3 linked regions of the Xenopus tropicalis genome follow. The protein of the gene in region 2 interacts with the protein of the main gene of each other region in a biochemical or structural test. Links are inferred from orthologs where the notes say so. Each region holds a gene or a part of one and is shown on either strand. Other genes may lie near its edges.

What was found.
Region 1: the proteins of rala (region 2) and pld1 form a complex in vitro, tested with the Homo sapiens proteins (2 studies listed by BioGRID). The link is inferred for Xenopus tropicalis from reciprocal best matches to the Homo sapiens genes RALA and PLD1.
Region 3: the proteins of rala (region 2) and exoc2 are reported together in a solved structure, tested with the Homo sapiens proteins (2 studies listed by BioGRID, with this or other methods). The link is inferred for Xenopus tropicalis from reciprocal best matches to the Homo sapiens genes RALA and EXOC2.

The regions. Positions count from the first base shown.
Region 1 is NC_030681.2:111,420,000-111,426,805, reverse strand, and holds part of pld1 (phospholipase D1), read right to left. Parts: intron 6,159-6,806; coding exon 5,955-6,158; intron 4,942-5,954; coding exon 4,722-4,941; intron 4,097-4,721; coding exon 3,968-4,096; intron 3,237-3,967; coding exon 3,118-3,236; intron 2,195-3,117; coding exon 2,081-2,194; intron 1-2,080. UniProt on the Homo sapiens protein: Function as phospholipase selective for phosphatidylcholine. Implicated as a critical step in numerous cellular pathways, including signal transduction, membrane trafficking, and the regulation of mitosis.
Region 2 is NC_030682.2:64,534,151-64,540,956, forward strand, and holds part of rala (ras-related protein Ral-A), read left to right. Parts: intron 1-2,773; 5' UTR 2,774-2,794; coding exon 2,795-2,908; intron 2,909-6,798; coding exon 6,799-6,806. UniProt on the Homo sapiens protein: Multifunctional GTPase involved in a variety of cellular processes including gene expression, cell migration, cell proliferation, oncogenic transformation and membrane trafficking.
Region 3 is NC_030682.2:87,112,513-87,119,318, forward strand, and holds part of exoc2 (exocyst complex component 2), read left to right. Parts: intron 1-1,504; coding exon 1,505-1,650; intron 1,651-2,959; coding exon 2,960-3,041; intron 3,042-4,101; coding exon 4,102-4,204; intron 4,205-6,043; coding exon 6,044-6,162; intron 6,163-6,806. UniProt on the Homo sapiens protein: Component of the exocyst complex involved in the docking of exocytic vesicles with fusion sites on the plasma membrane.

The sequences.
Region 1 (6,806 bases), on a different chromosome or scaffold from region 2:
CAGTTTAGAAGAAAACACATATGGGTGTAGACAGTAACACCAGTGCAATCACAGAATTCCTGTCTGTGCTGGAAATCAGAGAGGTGTTTCATGATACTGTGTAATATGAATTAACTTCTTAATCACTTAACTATTATTAGGTAACAAAAGCCTGGGAAAAACTGTAAGAAATCTTGCAATAATGGTAGTACTGGCTACTTGCTTTCCATTGTTATACAAATACAAGTCAAACAAGAAACTCGAGAAATATATGGCACCCCTTTTTTTGTTCCTAGTAATCTAATTAAAGTGAAAGCAGAGACATACATTATTCTTTTGATGTCATTGTTAAAGTTTATTCATTAAAGGTGGCCATACATGGGCTGATTTTAGCTGCTAATTCAGGTCCTTTACACCAATTCAGCAGCTTATCTGCCCATGTATGGGCACCCACAAGGGGCCTACCCGATCAACATCTGGCCTAAAATTGACCAGATCTCGATCAGGCAGGTTTGATTTTACATCAGATTGGGGACTGCATTGGCATGTTGATGTGGTCCCAGATCAGACAGCGGCTATGCCCACCATTGTAATTCGATCATTTGGCCCTAGGGCCAAACAACTGTTGTCGCCCACCTTTAGGGCAGGGGTACATGGGGAGATTAGTCGCCCTGTGACAAATCTTAGTTGTCACGGGTGACTAATCTCCCTGCAATGCCATCCCACCAGCTAGAATTTCAATCGCCGGTGGGATGGCATACGTGTGGTTGTGATGTCTCTCAAGACAACGGGCAATGGCGGGACATCGCAGCGACGTGTATGCCATCCCCCGGCAATTTCCATTCTAGCCGGTAGGATGGCATTGCAGGGAGATTAGTCAGCCATGACAACGAAGACACACTAAGCTACTAGTAACAGCTACTTTTTCATGGCTACTAAGCTCCAGAAAATAGACAGTACTGAGAATTGCCTCTGCTAAAATACACGTAGAGACAGTTATCAGTAAATGATCAGCCACGACAAGTTGCTGCTACTAGTTTTCATCCTAAAACATACAGAGCTACTTAGTAGCAGCTACTTGTCAAGGCTACAAAATGCCAGAAAATACCCTGCCATAGACAATACTGAGAAAAGCCTCTGCTAAAACACACGTAGAGACAATCATCAGTAAATTATCTGCACTGTCTATTTTTGTAGCCATGACAAGTAGCTGCTACAAGTAGCTATATGTGTCAGCCCTCAGTGGCTCATGGCCCACTGTGAGATTAGTCGCCTGCAGTTAACCTCCTCTGATGAAGCGCCACATGGTGCGAAACGCGTTAGGAGATTAGGATGCACCTGGTCATGTTTTGGTATAGTATGCTTTTGTTAGGAGTTCTGTTTATGTTCATATTTATTTGAGCCAATAAATGTTGTTGTTTTTATTCCACTGAAAACTTTTGCAATTTATTCTTATATTTGGTTCAGGACTTATCAGTGGGATATTACTGATAGATCCCCTTTCTGAAACCTATTTATTATTTATTGACTATTACAGTCGACTAATTTCCCCAAAATGGCTTTCCAACAACAACGTGAATCGCTGGTGGAAAGGCATAACCGTCCATTCGGTTTCCAGGGCAACTTGAAATGAAAACTAAGCAACGTGTATGTCTTTCCACTGGTGATTAACTTTGTGGTTGGTGGAAAGGCATTTTGGGGAGATCAGTCGCCTGCAGTAGCAGAGATTTAACCACGCACGACTCATCTCCCCGTTGTACATGAGACTTAAATAAATTGCCTATATAAATTTAGGATTTTATAAAAGCACAATAATGAACTTAAAAATCATTATATGAATTTTTGTAACTGTGATTGCAAAGTATTTATTATTAATTGTGGCTGAGGAATTTTAAAATGAAGCTTGTATTTAAAATGTATTAATTAAAATGGAGACATATATAAAAATGTACGTTATCTGCATGTTTTCAATTATACAGCAATATGAGCTAGAATATCACTTATGGGCTTTGTTCTCTAAGTGGTTCTGTACCACCAGACTAGATGTGTTTTTGTAATAACTTGGATTAGCCCAGACACCCCTGAGAAATGCCTGACTCACCTGTACTTGTGCATGCACAGACCCTGGAACTTGATAGGGTAACTCCTTGGCAGTTTTGTTAGATTTTGGAAGCAAGAATGGGTAGGAAAGGGAACGATATTTTGGTTTCATGATCTATTTAAAAAAAAATAAATATATATATATATATAAAACACAACTTACAGCTCTGAAACAGCATTTAATAGGTAGAATAAGCACTTATATATTATATATATTCACTTAGGTACCTTTTAGTTTGTATCTATGTATATCTGTATATCTTTATAAAACGCTACTTAAGTACGCAGAGCTGTACAGTAGAATACATTAATATAAACAGGGGTATTAAGATAATAGATAAATACAAAGTATTACAATAAGCACAAATACATAAAAGATACAATTGCAATAAGATAAGAGTCAAAGACACAAGAGGATGGAGGTCCCAGCCCCGTAGAGCTTACAATCTAGATGGGAGGGTAACTTACAGACACAAATATAAGTGCTGTAGGTCACAGTGGGTGACATTACAATATAAGTGCTAGTCAGGTGCTGGGTGAGTGTTCCAAAACGAAGTCTTTTAGTTTGGTTTTAAAAAGACTGAGGGAGGATTCTCTCCGGAGGAAATCAGGGAGGGCATTCCAAATGTAAGGGGCAGCAAGGCAGAAAGGTTTAAGGCGGGAAATAGCAGTAGTAGGGGGGGCGCAACCAAACGATTGCTCTACGAAGAACGAAGGAGTTAGCCAGGAACGTATGGAGACACAAGGGAAGAGATGTAGTGAGGAGCAGAGGAATGGAGGGCTTTGAAGGTTAAGAGAAGGAGTTTGTAAAATATTCTTTGTTTAATAGGAAGCCACGATAGGGACTTTTGCAGGGGAAGGGCCTGAAATCTCCTGGATAAGAGGAGGAGAATTCTGGCAGCAGTGTTTAATATAGACTGTAGGGGGGAAAGATGGGTTAGGGAGGCCGGTTAGTAGCAGGTTACAGTAGTCAAGGATGAGAGCATGCATGAGCAGCCTAGCTGTTGCAGTAGAAAGAAAGGGACATTTGATACATACTTTAGCAAAGTTCCATCGCTGGATGAAATGCCTTGCAACGTCTCGTGCTGCTTTTCCATGTACAACAGAAGCAATATCATGCCATGGCATTCTAGGGGTCTGGTATCGATCAATGAAATCTAAGCAAAAATACACAATTATGGTAAGGTGCAATGGGAAATGATTACTCTTTACAAGTACAATAGAGGGGATTATAGACAGATGGGGGGGGGATCTTCTTACCCATACAAAAGATCAGCACACCAGAGGCCACCCCTTAGAAGCAGTGTAGGTGGTTCTTCACATTGAGGGTAGTGAGGTTTTGGATGGCTGGTAATGTTCTGATGGCAGATTCTACTTATGTTTTTAAGAGTGACTTGTATAATTTCCTTGAAAAAGCATAATATCCAAGGCTATTGTGACCTTAAGATCTACAGTTAATATAGATATTGGTATATTATATAAGAAGCGTCAATTTTTTTTCACTAATGGTACACAGCCTCCCTGCCAAAGTTACATCCCCTTCACTAAGACATAAGGGCAGTTTTGTAAAAAGCAAACAGACTTTACAGAACACCTCAGTGTGGATGAAGGCATTTTCTCATAATTATGCTGGATGACAAAGTAATTTTTTTTGTCACTGCCCTTAGGGTAAGAACCCATGGATCAGTTGTGTCACCCACGATAGAGCTCTCCGAAAAGGCTTTTCACCAGCAGAGATCTATCATGGGTGACATAACCGCTCCGTGGGTACTTACAATTAGGCCCCTTTGAGAAAAACACTGCTATACCATTATCATAAACTGAATGTTAAAAATGGAATTAATGCATGATAAATGCAACAAATAAAAAGTCTCTAAGAGCAATTTACCTGCAAATGGTTTGTCCAGCTGTACCCAGTCCTTAAAAACAAAGTTGCAGTAGTCCTTTCCATGCCAAAAACGTGTTTCACCTAAGAGTTCTCCCACGCCTGTCTGCAAACTGCGAATTGATCCTCTATCTGCAATCATGTACAGAATGCCTTAACATAAGGACCTATTCACTTTCATTTAGAAAATCACTTTATACAGTAAGTTATTGCCCCACAGTTGGATGCAGATTAGAACAGGGGGTGAACATTTACTAGAAATCTGCGCAAATTACTGCAACCACTGTGGCGACCAGCTGGATCACATTTCAGTTCTCCCCTTGGATCCTAAACTCTCTATTTGATTTTGATTTGATCCATATGCAGACTGCAAAAAGTTCCACTCCCAGCAGGCCTGCATAGGTGTCTTGTTATGATAAGCCTGATTTAGCTAAGCATGTGGGCAATTCAGGCAAAGATCAACTTGTTTGGTGGCCTTGTCTAAACCTCGTCTAAACTGGTTAACCTGTTAAACTGGTGCTTAAACAGGGCTCCCAAAAGTATAAAGTCATTCATACTGGTTATGTAAATGCACTACTCCAAGTAAAAATCTTTAACAGCCTCTATGATATAGTAGAATTGTGTGTATATATATATTAAATACTCATCACAGTTATAACCACCGTATAAACATTTCAATATAAAATGCTCCATATACTTTTTAATATATAATGCTCCAGCTAAATACCTCCATAACATACAGAAAAGACACACTTACGCGATTCACTGTCTATGCTGCTCACACTGTCTGCATGCTGAAGGTTGTGCTTGTGGAGCTGTTTGTAAAGACTGAATTTGGCAAATTTCCTAGATTTTCCCAGTCCTCTGATTCTTGAAGAATCCACTGCATCCTCATCTTTCTTGGCCGGGACTTCAAAACTTTTCTTCTTCTCTGGTCTGTTATCACCATTTAAAGATGAAGTGGAATCAGATGAGATCTTAAAAAAAACAAAAACAAAGGGTAAATTGTTCAGCATGAGCCTAATAAAAAGGGTTTGTGTAGATTTTTACCTTAAAGTCAGCATTCCCTGTAGATTAAATATGAGACTGTACAGAACATTGTATATATTTCTCTTGCATATTTTAGTTAGAGGTATTTTTATGACAGCTTGTCATATAACATATTTTATTTAAATACATAGTTAATTTGGGTTGAAAAAGATAAAAGCCTATCCTACAGCCAGTTCTTTTTCCAAGTACAAATATTATGATACAGTCCAATATCCTTAGTCAGTAACCTGTGTAGTTCTGTATCAAATGCTTTAGCAGACATATACTCTGTCTCTATATGGTTTATTCTGGATCAGATGATAAATGTGTGTTGCTTTAAATGGGTTATTAAAAAAAACAAAAACAAAAAAAAAACAATAAAGGGAATATGTGGGCACATATGCTATTTTTAGCTATTGCTAAAGCAGTAAATTGGCTCATTCTGCTATTTGGTACTTTGTGGTGTTTTATTAGCTCTTTAAATTCTATGATTTATAGCACTTAAATTGTGGAATATCTTCATATAAATGATTAAATGTTCCACGCAGCAAATAATTTTACTATAATACTCTAATATAGTGACCAGGGGCCAATTCATTAAAACACGAGTTTGAATCCCGAATGGGAAAAATTCGGATTGGATACGATAATTTCTGAAGATCACAAATATAACGAAAATGCTTCCGAAAAAATTGTATTAGTCACGATAATATCGTATTGGCGATCCGAAACGCACAAAAATTTCGTACCGAACTATTGTAAACAGCGGCAGAACCTTTTCTGAATTTTTCGTGCAAGCGTCCAAAAAAGCTGCGCAAATGTCCGAAAAAGTCGCGCGGGCACACGAAAAAATCGGCGCAAATAAGCTCGGAGCATTCACGTCTTGATAAATCTCCCCCTCAGTGTTTTGTAATAATGGTTTTATATAACTTTATGTTGCAGATGTTTTCAAGATGATTACCTTATTTATTGCAGTTGTTGACTGTGTTGTTACAATTCGCTTAACGCTGCCAACATCAGTTAGTCTGTGTTCATCATCATCCCATCTTCCGTAGGCTAGGTCAATCCCTCCAACAAAAGCTACAGACTGATCTATCACAACAATCTTTTCATGATGAGCCCAAAGGTACACTGAGGAAGACATGTGATCTGGGTGCCTCATAACCTAAAGACATTAAAACACACAAACAGTGTGTAAAGGTACATAAAACTAAGGCAAACTTTGTTCACTAGATAAAAGTAAAGGTTTCAGTTATCATAATTATGAGGTGTGACAGGAGTAAAGCAAAGTCCACACCAATCACATTTTTGCTAGATAATAATCTTAAGGCAATGTGAGCTCAGAATTTATTTTTTTTGCTTATTTTCCCTAGGTACTGTGAAATGTATATAATATGGATTGTTTAATGTTATCCCTCCAAACAAGTTATGGAAAAACTTATAGGACATGATTTTTCATGTCGTGAGTTGATAATCAAGTATTCCCTAACTCATATTCTAAAGGTGACCATACACAGGAAGATTTCAGCTGCCAATTCTGGTCCTTCAGCGCGATTTGGCAGCTTACCTGCCCGTGTATGGGCACCCCCGACGGGCCTACCCAACCATAATCTGTTGTAATTTGATCATTTGGCCCTAGAATTAGCTCAATATGGGCCACCTTTACGTGGTCATATCAGAAGATCGGCTCGTGGTGAACTCGCCAAACAAGCAAATCTTCTTGTGTATGGCCACCTTAACTTATTTGTCAATCAGATTACCTGGCACAGCTAGCAGCCATAATCAAGTTAAGTATCTGCCAGTGCTTTCAGGT
Region 2 (6,806 bases):
TGAGCCAATCAGCAGGAAGCTGACTCATAGTCTTACTAACTGAGCATGTACACCTGGTCTGGGTGTCTGTGCAGGAGTGAGGCATTATGGGAACGTTCTTTACACAGCTCAGCGTTTTTTCTTCCTGTTTGGCTTCTGATCTTCTGAACAGGTGAAATATGGGGAGACTTAAGGGCACTATTGAGACAACTGAAGGTATGCCTGCAGCTTGAGATTAACTCTTTACTAGCCTTTCCTTCTCCTTTAAAGGCATTAACAGAATCTGCCATTACGACATCACTAGAAAGGGCATTCCACAACCTCATTGCCCTCACCGTGAAAAACCACCTACGCTGCTTCAAATGGATTACAACTGCCCCTTGTTGATTTTTGTCAGCCATAAAGTGTGAAGAAATAAACTATTTTTGGTACCTTTTCATTTACAAGAGTAAAAAATGCTCCAAAATGCTCCAATATGCCTGGCAGTTTTGCTCCTGTGAGTTAAGTTCCAAGTGTTATTAAATTGGTATTGACACATTCCTATGAAAATCCATGGGAATGTGTCAGTATTAGTAAAAAAAAAAAAATTGCAGCCAAAAGCCCTCCGAAGCCACACCCAGCCCAGCAATATTTACCAAAGCCGACATGGCTGAAGACTTTTCCATAATTGTTTCAGTCACTCTGGGCTGTGGGCAGCACAATCCTTCCATAGGCCACCCCTCTGCAGGATTGTGTACATATGTGTTCTTTTAGCTTACATACGGAGCACTGGGGACAGGATGCACTGAAGTTTTCTGTGTGTCCTGTCCCCAGTGCTCATTATGTGAGCAAAATTTACCTGCGGCTGGCTGCCATGCACCCCATAAATTTATGCCGCCTTAGGCCCAGGCATTTGTGGCCTTGCCACAAATCTGGGCCTGACCATGCTGGAAGGTTCTGTATAGAGCAGCATTCCTTTTAAGGTTGTTCTCTTTTACATGGTGGAAGTGACTCAAGTTGTTATATCCCTTGCCTGGCAAATTTTTAGGTTTAGGCAATATGGGGCTCAATCACTGGCTTGCAGTCTTTATGGTATAGGCTATGGTATGGGATCCATAGTTGCAGACTGCATATGTTTGCGTACATGCACTGCCTTGGAAACTCATTCAACCTCATTGTTTGTGGGACTGTTTATATTCTTCAGCGGTACATGTGAGGTCCATGACACCATTATGCACACCTGTTTACTTCTAGTTCTACACTGTTATCCCATATCGTTTGTATAATATTTGATGGATGTTGCTTTTAAAGGGGATCTGTCACCCTAATACATAATTCCAAATTCTTTTCTAGTTGAACAAAATAAGCTTTATACACTATATAAATTATTTAAATTGTTTCCTTTATTATTTTGGAATCCACAATCACAGCAACCAGGGCATTTATTATACAGCTTTTTTTATCTGAGTGACTGATCACTACTGAGGAGTATCTGCTGAGCTGGTTTCGCATTATGTCAGTAGTGTAAATATGTTCTATCTAGTTTCAACATAAAGAAAAATCTTCAGCACACCACTTACATACATGTTCTCAAAGGGTGCTTGACTTCCACAGCCGCTCCCTAGCCTTTTTTCCATGTATCTTTGCAAAGGGGAAGAAGCACTCCAGTGTGTCGGCAATGCCTTTAAATCATTTATTTGCAGAAATGAACAAACAACACAAGCTTTTGGGGGTGACCCCTTCTTCAGGTGCACCTGAAGAAGGGGTCACCCCTGAAAGCTTGTGCTATCTAGTTCCAAGTCTTTCAGTGATGCCGACAAGTTGGTGGATCACCTCAAAATCAAAAAAAACTAGGATAAGTACTTTAAGGGTCAGCAGTGCTATGTACAGGATTTCCACCACATAATTGTTTCAAAGGACCATAAGCTGTACTTCACACCAGACTCCTGTTGCTGTTTTTTTCATGTTACACTGATTTGCAACAATTCTGATTTATTGTTTATGTTCAATTAATTTAACCCTTTAAGTGCCGCAATCTGTATGCTGTGGATGTAATAAGCTATGTGCTATAGGATGTAGAGTCATAAGTTCTACAACACTGAGCACTAACACTTTATGCAATCTTCCACAATAGGTTTGGTCAAATTAAAATTTAATAAGCTTCAAGAGTTAGTACTTGGTCTGGTCACACCCCCTTTTTATCCATCATTGTTGCTGTAAATGTGGGAGCAGGTCTTTATTCAGACTAGAAGTGGGTTCATGACCTCTGCAGCCAGGTAGGTTTCTGCAGACACCACTAATGTGCACTGTAAAGAGGGATAAATAAAGGTTACATGTTTTAAAAGCCAATGAAAAATATAATTTAGTACCTAAAATGTATCTTTTAAAACAAAAATGTAGGGTTACAACCTGCTAAAGATACAAACAGTAAAAGTTGTCTTGTATAATAAGAGCCAATCAAATAAAACATTGGCAATAAATATTTGACACATCTTATTATTAGGGATGCACCGAACCCCCGGATCCACCCCAATGGATTCGGCTGAATACTGAACCAACACGGAGGGGTTAAAAATTGGCGCGTGCAGCAATTAACCCTTCCAGATGCTAATTAGCATATTCTTATTTATGATAATTTGGAATCGGTTTGGCCAGGACAGTGGACTTGCCCGAAACCAAACCCTGCCCAAAAAGGCAGAATACCAAGCTGAAGGGTTTAAGAAACCCTAATGTACTTCATACTGAGAATGGCCAGATGAGGCTGTTTTGTGCTAATCTTTAATGGATCTTTCTTATTATATTTTTGCCCCTTCAGAATTTAACATAAAATCGGAAGATGGCAGCAAATAAGCCCAAAGGGCAGAATTCATTGGCATTGCACAAAGTCATCATGGTAGGCAGTGGTGGAGTTGGAAAATCAGCTTTAACACTTCAATTTATGTATGATGAGGTAAGTCATTTTTGCTTTGTTTGTTTTATTACCAAAGCTGATTTGCTGATACAGTTATGAAATCTATTTTTGGATCACCAAATGCATGGACTACTAAATATTATAATAAACAGTTAAATATTAAATAAGACTAAAAGAATAGCTCAGTCACCTGGGTAGATCACCAGGGTACTTAGGACTAAACACAATGTAATGTTCTTTTTTATTATTAGGAAAAAGCTAAATAAACGGGAATAGCTTATAATGGGCTCCATGGGAGATGCCATCCTGTAACTCTAAACTTTCTGGGTATCAGGTATCCAGATAAGGGATCCCAATACCAGTAGAAAAAGAGAGCTGTCCATTTCCCAGCATAAATGAACACAAATGAACATGGGTAAATGGAAAATAAAATACAAGGTGCAATTCAGCATGCAGAAGCTTAAGTTCTACAGGCTGCCAACATTACTATGAGGACTGGTGGCTGCAGCAATGAGATTTAAATTTATATAATACCAATTTTCTATCACCAAATATAATACCAGCCCTCTCTTAACTGTCACTTGATTGTCCCGTAAATCCAGTTGTTTTAACTAAATCCTAGTAACCCTTTCTGTGCTAGAATTAGTAGTTCCAAAGCTGCTGTGCTGTAAGTTTTAAAGCATAGTTGAAGCTGTAGTTTGGCATCTTGTGTTTGTAAACCTTGGGCAAATATGACCTTTGGATTTCCAGCTATTTTATATAAAGAAGTCTTTTATCTAGTGAATATGCTGCAGCTCATGCAACTCAGGTTTTATATTTTATTCTGTGCCAATTGGAGTTAGAGACAGACCTACTGTACATCACCTGTGCTGGGACTTTCAGTTTCAAATCAGTATTTACATATAGCATACCTCCCAACATTTGAAAAATTTAAAGAGGTACCATGCCCATTTTTGTGACCACACCCCCTAAATACTCTGGAGGTAGGTTTGGGGTCTTGTTTTATGTTTTTTTTTACAGTTTTGCTAATGAAGGTGAAATTGCCTTTTACGATGCAATTCTCCATTCCCCCAAGAGACCTGTTTATCTTATTAGTACAATTGTATCTAATTGCAGGTGTTGAGTAGTCTGGGCTCTCTGCCAAAAGCCTACTTATCTGATTAAGTTTGAGAAACTTTATATCTTTTTTGGCGTTCAGTGCAGGTGATCAAAGGGAAATGAGGGACTTTTCAATAAGAACCCGGGACTGGGGGCTGAGCTTTTAAAATCAGGACTGTCCTGTGAAAATTATGACAATTGGGAGGTATAATATAGGCAGGTTTATTCTGCCCTGCTCAGCAGTACGGCTGCCAAAAAATGCTGTGCATGATTCATTTGTTTTCTTACTGCTTCCTGCACCCAGCAAGCTTAGATGAAGACCTTTGTTTAGCTGACTTTTAACAGTTTGTGGGGTGTTTTATCTTCTTCCATAATATACTTATGGTCATGGATTTCCCTGAATGAAGAACATGCTGCTTATGGCAAATGTTGAGCCTGTCAGGTAGGGATTGATTGGATTGAAGGAAAAGAACGATTGCTTCCAATAATTTAATCTATAGATGAAATAAAATATAGTAGTTCTTTGGATACTTCTTACTTGTTTGTCCTTTACTCTTTACTTTGCTCCTGTATTAACTCCTTTCCTAATAAACCTTATTTACAGAGGACATGCCTTCCCTGTGAATTGTACAAAATGACAAAAAGCAAGAGGTAGGAGTGTCCTTTTGGCACTATTATTACTTTGGATAAAGGGTCCTATACCTGTAACGTTCCCAGAATGCTTGAGACCTGGGGTTTTCCAGATAAGGGGTCTTCCTGTAATTTAGATCTCCATACCTTAAGTCTACTAAAAATCATTTAAACATGAAATAAACCCAACAGGATAATTTTTTCACCAATAAAGATTAATTATATATTAACTGAGATCAAGTACAAGGTACTGTTTTATTATTACAAAGAAAAAGGAAGTATGTATTAAAATTTAGAATTATATGCATAAAATGGAGTCTATCAGTGATAGCCTTTTCGTAATTTTTCGGATAAAGTATCACATACCTGTATATGAAAATCTAATTTAAAATATTAAATTGGTATGCTTGCTTCAGGAAATGAAAAAAAAATCTGATTATTTCACTATATAGGCTCTGTTTCTGTGGACAAATCAGAATTACTTTTCCCAGCGATGTCAATAACTTTGTGTTAATGTCATTAAATGTTATGAGCTGCCTTTTTTGGAAGATAGTAATGGGCCATGGTTGGTCATGCCACCTCTCCCTGATATTAATGGGATTTTTCATTATTCAAACATCAATAGCTGTTATAAACTAATTTTAAAAATCTTAGTTGTCAATCATATTTTACCTTCTCGTCCTGGCTGCAATTACAGTAATTTCTATACTTCCTAATGTTACTTAACTCTTCGCATGCCCCTGCCCTCTTCACTGTGTTGCATAACTTGTGCTTGGGTGTGTGCATCATGTCCTCCTTTCTTACATTTCTTTCTTCTCTTACATGGAATTTTGGGATAATGCATAGTTTGCCTTGTTTCCACAAAATGGCACCTGCCTGAATTATTTCTTAGTGACAGATCACCTTTTACCCAATAATAGGACAAATTCAGGCAGCAAACAATTTTTGCAGCTCAATAATTTCACACCTCTGCATAAAATAATTACATAGCTTAAGAAATATTCTTATTTGTACATGGCATTGAAGTGTCAATGTATTTTAATGCTGTAGTGTTGCTCTTGTCCAAAGAAGGCCACAGCCATCTTTCCCTAGGCTCCCTGGTATCCCTTGCTCTGAGCCAAGACCATATTCAATTTAAGGCCCTTCCATTTGGGCTTAAAGAATAAGTAAACGTTTTGCAGCTCAGATAAGTAACTTCCTTATCTATAATGAAGCTCTGTCCGCTTTAGTATACTAAGCTTTCCTTCACCACCATTGAACAGGAAGCTGGTAAAAGAACTGTCTACTTGCCCATGCTTGCTGGCTCCTGCTCGACTGCAGATCAGGCATGCACTTTTTTGATAAAATATCATTCTGGATCCATACATACCAAGCATGAATGGCGTGTAAACTGCCTCTCCCACATGTTAATATATGTGTAATATAGTTGTGTTTTGGACTTATTGGAAATTGTATTATATTTGTTATATTTGCAGTATAATGTGTATGCACTGTGTGTTGATTAAATACAATTCAAAGAGAACTCTCTGTTCTCCTGTGGCTTTTTATTACACCAACTGGTAGCGATGTAAATCGCCAGTGGAAAAATATCCATGGCACTTTGGTATTCTGCAGTTGCACAAAGTCACAGAGACTGCGCTGTTCCCCCCGCAAAAAAAAAATCTTCAAAGGTGCCCTGTGTTTAATTCAAGTGCAACCCACTCACCCCTCCTGTTCCCCTCCTATGTACTAGGTCTCTAAAGCTTTAGAGCAGGGATCCTCAAACTATGGCCAGCGGGCCAGACCCCGCCCCCGCTGCGTCCTCGCCCCTTGCAGTGGGGATTGGAAGAGGGAGGATGGACAGAATGGGGGAGCTGGGAGAGGGAGGACACCGGAGCGGGCCGTAGTTTGACTCCGCAGCAGGGAGCTGGAGCTGGAGGGGGGCGTACTTTGAGGACTATAGTCCAGACATAAAAAGCTGTATAAAAAAAAAAGTTTATTTTGAATCAAACATAAAAAACTATTTTTTTTTTTATTAAAACATCCATACCTGTTATAAAGGTAAAATATCAGCTGACGCTTATATATATATATATATATATATATATATATATATATATATATATATATATATATATATATATATATATAATATATGCACATGTAACAATTCCAGACCATTCTTAGGAATGTTTTCTTTAAGTTTGTGTTTTGTTTACTAGTTTGTGGA
Region 3 (6,806 bases), about 23 Mb from region 2:
AAATTAGTTTTAAGAAAACGTAATCGGCACATTTAAAGTCTGTTATTAAGTTACACATTAAAGGCCTGTTTATAGGAAACGCATTAGCTTTTAATAATGTTTCATTTATATTTATGTCCTACACGTTTTTTATGAAATGTTTAAGTTTTGCATAAAGGCATCACAGTTGATAAGCCACATACAGTAGTGAATGTTTCCTTTTGCATAATATTCAGTTAGTTTTGCAAAATGTTTCCTCTAATACAGTGCTGTCCAACTGGCGTCCCACAACCCCCCTCTGGGTGGCCCCCCACCTGTCTGGCTGCTTTGATGGGTTACCTTTGAGTAAGCTTTAAATTGTATCAGTACTGAGATTAACTGGCTCCCTGCATGGTTCTCACCTCAGATTCAGGCTGTAATCCCTCTGTATTGTTTAAAAATGTAATCCCCTGTACTGTTCACACCTTTTAATCTCTGCATTGTATATCCCCTGCAGTGTTCACACCTCAGGCTGTAATCACCCACATTGTTCACCTGTTCGCACCTTAGACATTGTAGGGACTGCCTGGACTATGCTGCCTGTGTGTATGGCACACACACGGAGCATAGGGTAGGCACATTATGGCACAAAGGCAGCATAGGGCAGGGAGGGTATGGCACAAAGGCAGGGTAGGACAGGCAGAGCATGGCACACACAGGCAGCTAAGGGCAGGCAGAGTATGGCACACACAGGCAGCATAGGGCAGGCGGAGTATGGCACACACAGGCAGGGTAGTGCAGGCAGAGTATGGCACACACAGGCAGGGTAGTGCAGGCAGAGTATGGCACACACAGGCAGCATATGTCAGAGAGGGTATGGCACACAAAGGCAGGGTAGTGCAGGCAGAGTATGGCACACACAGGCAGGGTAGTGCAGGCAGAGTATGGCACACACAGGCAGGGTAGTGCAGGCAGAGTATGGCACACACAGGCAGCATAGGACAGGCAGAGTGCTGCCTGTGTGTGCCATACTCTGCCTTCCTTTTGCTGCCTGTGGGAGGTGAACCTTACAGGGGTTTGTTAGCAGTTGGAAATAGTCATTAAATGGTCCCTAAGGTGTGTTATTATGTGCTGAGGGTTGCTGTGCTATCCACAGGGGATGAGGACGCATATGGATTTAAGGGTATATCTTAATATGATATAATATAATTCTTTCACATATGATGGTTGATATCCCCGCAGTAAGGACCAAGCAATTGGGTTTTTGCTGCACTACCACTATTGTGATAAAATAGATGTGGTCTGAAGTGGGTGTGGTTTAAAAAAGGGGAGTGGTCAAAACTGGCTTCCATTAGCGGCCCTCCACCATGTATGCTAGAGAAATTCTGGCCCTCGGCACCGCAGAAGTTGGGCAGCACTGCTCTAATATATTTCTATGTGTATGATCACAAGGTGTACTTCATATCCAGGAGTGGTTTAAAATGATTTTGGTGGTGGTACAAGCCTTAGGCAAATCTCATCAGTTAGAACATCTGCTTGTCTCTAGGTGCAAGTACAACAGCTGACACCCTGTTCCAGGAAGTACTTGGTCGCAAGGATAAAGCAGACTCTACAAGAAATGCCTTGAATGTGCTTCAGAGATTTAAATTTCTCTTTAACCTTCCACTTAATATTGAAAAGAACATTCAAAAGGTAATCCCCTGCTGAACAATGTCACCAAACCAATTTGCAACTTGTTCCCTTCATTTTGTTTTTGCTTTTTTTTTTTCTTTTTTTTTTATTGCTTGCCATTAATTCTGCCTGTACCTAGAAACTTGAGGGCAATGGCAGACATTGTTGTTGCCTTGAGCATTTTGTTGCCTGAACTGATAAGAGAGTTGAAAGAATGCTCTTGATGACCCTTTCCTGCTCATGGCAGTGGCAACTGTATTTTTTTAACAAAAGTCTCTCATTCTACAAGTATGGCTGTTCATAGTGATGAGTGAATTTTTTTGCCAGACATACATTTGAAGCAAATTTTTGTTATCACAGAATTTATTTTGTGAAACCATGGCAAAATGTTGGTGCCTGTTGACTCCAGTGCATTTAGCACAACCAGTAAACCTGCTCATTACTCATCTAAGGCACGCTCAAACTGGCCATATACATAATTATAAATGTATAGGATTTTTTATGCAGAATGCTTGAGACCTGGATGAGGAATCTTTCCGTGAGTTGAATCACCATATCTTAAATCTGCTAAAATAAATTTAGATATTAAATAAACCACAATGAGATTGTTTTCCCGCCAATATGGATTCTTGCAGTTACCATCAAGTACAAACTACAGTTTTATTTTTACAGAGAGAAAGGAAATCATTTTTAAAAATTAGAATTATTTGCTTAAAATGGACTCAATGGAATATGGCCTTACTGTTATTTGTACCTTTATTTAGATAAGGGATTGCATACCTGTAATAATGACGTACAAAACAAAGTTTCATGTGGTTATTGGTATTGAGGCCCACCAGTCTCTACCAGTATCGATCTGTTGTGGATATTTATCAGTTAGACCATTGGGCAAGTTTGAATATATTATATGCCAGTGCACCACGTTAAACATTGCATGATGCATATGGAAGTGTTTGTTTTCTGGTATTCTGATGGTTCTTGCTATTTTTCTTGTTTGTTTCTTACTCTTTGTATGTTCTCTAGAAAAAAAATTCACTTCAGTACCTCTGTCCAGTACCTCTCTAAAAAGTGTACTCTCTTTTTAAAAGATATTTACACTGTATTTAACATATTTCTTCACTTGCCAATAAATGTATGGCTAAATTATTTCTTATGGTATATTGCTAGTTTTATACTTTACTTCCATGTTCATATTCTATAGTTTTACATAGTAAAGGGATGAGGTATTGCCACAAAATGTCTAGCTTTAATACAATATAAATATATATACAATACAATATATTTATCTACCAGTAAAGCTGTGTTTTTTTTCCCCGTTATTTTTACGAAGGGTGACTATGATGTTGTCATTAATGACTATGAGAAAGCAAAATCCTTGTTTGGGAAGACTGAAGTCCAGGTTTTTAAAAAAGGTGAGAATAAACTTGCCTAATTGAGAATTGTAAAACACACAAAAAAGGTGAGAATATATTTATCTCTGGTACTAGCAGAAATTTTCTTCAAAAGTTTTATAGAACCACAAATATCTAATAAGTTATTGGTTGTATATTGATTCTAAAGGCTGAAAAATCCATTTTTGTAAGGGTTGTGAATGCTCTTGGAGCACTTCTGAATTTACATAAATTTTCTATTTGTAGTGATTTCTGAGATATTTACAGTTTTAAAATACTAATGCCAGACTATCTACTCATCAGCTGTCTTTGAAAGTTAGAGTTTTAGCGACCCTAAATGACAGTGTACTGCCTGCATATTCAGTTGCTGCACTTTCTCAAGAGCTTTATCTAAAAAAATCACTATCATCCACACTGAAACTTTTAATTTCTTCAAAGTGATTTTAAAGTTGGGCAGTGTTGCATTGACAGAATAAGAAGGGAAGAGGAGCTGTCAGTTTGAAGGAACAGAAACGAAAAATATAAAGGTGGCTATACTGTTTGTGGCCCCTTGTACAGTATTTTTCCATATGGCCAGAGCTTGCTTTTCAGCAAGTGCCACGGATCAATATTCCTGCTTCTCTGTTGCTCTGTCTGTCACCCTTCCTTAATAATTTTCAATGACAAGCTCCCTGGCTGGCACATACATTTTTGGGATTGCAGAAACTGCAAGCGAGTTTCTGAACTCAATCTTATTTTCTTTAAAGTGATTTTTTTTTTTGGCTTGCTGAATTGGTTTTAAATAAAAACTAAAATGTTTTTTGCACAAGCAGGGTTTTGGCAAAAAAAGACTGGAACACACAATAATAACTCAATAATGATATTATAATAATAAACTCAATAATAATATTATAATAATAACTCAAACAATAATTATAATAAACACAAATAAATGCGAAGTTCAGTTACACTGAAGATTAAGCTAACTGTCCCCATAGAGCTTACAATGTAAGTAAAGTCCTTCGGTACACTAATTCCATTCATTTGATATGATATATAATATCACATTTTACAGAATTGTAAGTCTATGTTCATCTTTTAGTGTATGCTGAAGTGGAAACCCGTATTGAATCTTTACGAAATTTACTATTGGACAAGTTGTTGGAAACTCCATCCACTTTGCATGATCAAAAACGCTACATCAGGTGAGATAGACTGTTCCAGTATTTGCACAATAGATTTAATTTGGGTCTTGGGGAACCAGGAGTTTTTTTTTGTTACTGGCCAAGTTGCCCTTATTTTGAATGCTGAATATTATATTGCCATTATTATTTACTGCACTGTTATTTTTAAATAAGGTTAATCGCAACTCTTCTGCTTTTCAACTAGTGACTGCCTTGGTAGTCCTGTCCAAATCTTCTTTTGCTATCACACGTATATTATAAAGTAGAAAGAGACCCCTGAAAGTACAGTATTCCTAATTGATGTCATGGGGATTATAATAAAGACCTAGCCATTTTCTTTATGTCCCAAGGTGCCACAGCCATGGGACTAGTTCTCTGATAAACTTCAGTCACACTTTACTGCTGCACTGCAAGTTGGAGCGATATCACCCCCCTTCCTTTTTCCCCCAGGAGCCAATCAGCACAATAATGGGAAGGTAGCAAGATAGCAGCTCCCTGACACCTCTATTCCTAAAAGTGGTAAATATCAGAATAGCACTTAATAGTAAAATATCCATGACTCCTCTAGTTACATAGAGTAGGAGAAACAGCAGTTTGTTTGAATAGCTGCTTTAAAGCAATTCTAACATGTAGTTCTGGCTCCTTCTGAAAGTTCTGAATTGGGCACAATCCACTGAGATGGCTGCCTACACACCAATATTATAACTAAAAAAATACATTTGTTGGTTCAAAAATACAATTTTAAATGGTAAAATGAATTATTTGCTATGTAAACAGTGTAATTTAGAAATAAAACGTACACCATAAAAATCATAGCAGGATCACTTTTAAACATTTGAGCAGTTGAATTAGTCCTTTTTTGAGTTCACCTCTATAACTTTGCATACATCAGTCTAATATTATACTATTATCTTTTATACTACCCTCTAAATAAATTCCTCTTTTCTAATCATAGCATAGTTAACAAGGCGTTTTGTCCTTTCAGCTCAGTATGTCACCCTGTGTTTTTTCTGTAAACACCCTGAACAGAAACCCTTTTTATGATCTATTACTTAAACCTGTGTTTACGTTTTGTTTCTTATATTCACCCCTCCTTTTTACAATGTCTGCTAATAGTATGCTAGTTGTTGCTGCTGTGCTGACATTGAAAAAAATCTGTGAATTTAAGGATTTAAACTGTACACCGTTTTTAAGTTGCTCCAGTGCAGTTCTATAATTCTACTTAAGTCAGATTTTTTTTTTGTAAAACACCTGCATCTTCCTCTGGTGAGATTACCCTGTTAAGGTAGTGTTAACATCCTATGCAAATACCCTTTACAGTTTTCAGTGTATCTGCATACATTCCATTTCCATTCTCTCATCGTTTTCTTTGTTTTGGGCAGCAAAACATATCCTTTGACACCTGTAACTAATTGGTTTCTGTATTTGCTATTTTAAGATATTTTTAACTGGGCATTTGAAGCCCTCAGTTGTTCTTTCTGGTGTTTGAAGTAAAGTGTTCTGAGCTTCTGTTTGAAATCTCACATAAATTAGGCGTATGCACTGAAATAAATAGATCCTGCTGCTGGAAGATATGCTCTGACACTCGCAACAAAAATAAATAGTTGTCATTTTTCAGGACATCATTCTTATAAATCATCCAGTCTACTCATTATTTGAACTAAGCTGGCAAGTAAGCAACTGCTAAATATGTGTAATGCAGTTCTGCAACCATATCCATGCACAGAGGACTGAAGACTATACAGTAAAAACCAGATAAAGATCACAAGATAGATGAAAAAAATGTTGCAGCTTGCTTCTGTTTAGTTTTGTTGTTGTAGGCTCTGATTGATCTCTGATCTTTGGTTTTTGCTGTTACAGATATCTTTCCGATCTCCACGCTCCTGGTGACCCTGCTTGGCAATGTATTGGAGCACAGCATAAATGGATTGTTCAACTCATGCACAGCTGTAAAGAGGGTTATGTGAAAGAACTGAAAGGCAAGGACAGTTATGTTTATACACACACGTGCGCCCAACTTGTTATTTCTAACCCTTTAATAGCTAAATGTCTCCAATTGTGCCCTCAGAGGGAAACATCATAAAAATATGAGAGTTTTAATCATGGTTGTTAAATAGTACAAATGTTTTATGAAAAATTCAGCAGCTTGCATGAAATACCATACATCACATTTTGTGTTAGCTGCAAAGGTGAGAAAGGTAAAACATTAACTTTTAAAAGTATGGTGACAGGAATTTTCACCTTATCCATGTGGTTGGAGTGGCCAAATTATTGAGATTATTATTGCTGTCACTATTTCTGTAGAGTTTGATTTTTGGGGGGAAAGGGGGGATGCTACAGCAGTCTTAGCTTATAGGTATGCATTAACCTGTCCAGTAACGGGCAGAAATAAGCTGCCGATTCAAGCCCTCCAGACCAATTCCGAAATGCCAAATGTCAATCTGGAAGGTTTGATTTTCCCATTGGATCAAGGACTGCATTGGCTCATTGAGGTGGTCCTCTATCCAACAGCTACTATTCCCCTTATCCTAGGGCCAAACAATCAGATTAACACGATATCGCCCACCTTAGATGGGCATATCAGGGGAAGTATCCACTAACTTGCCAAAGAACTCCCCCCCCC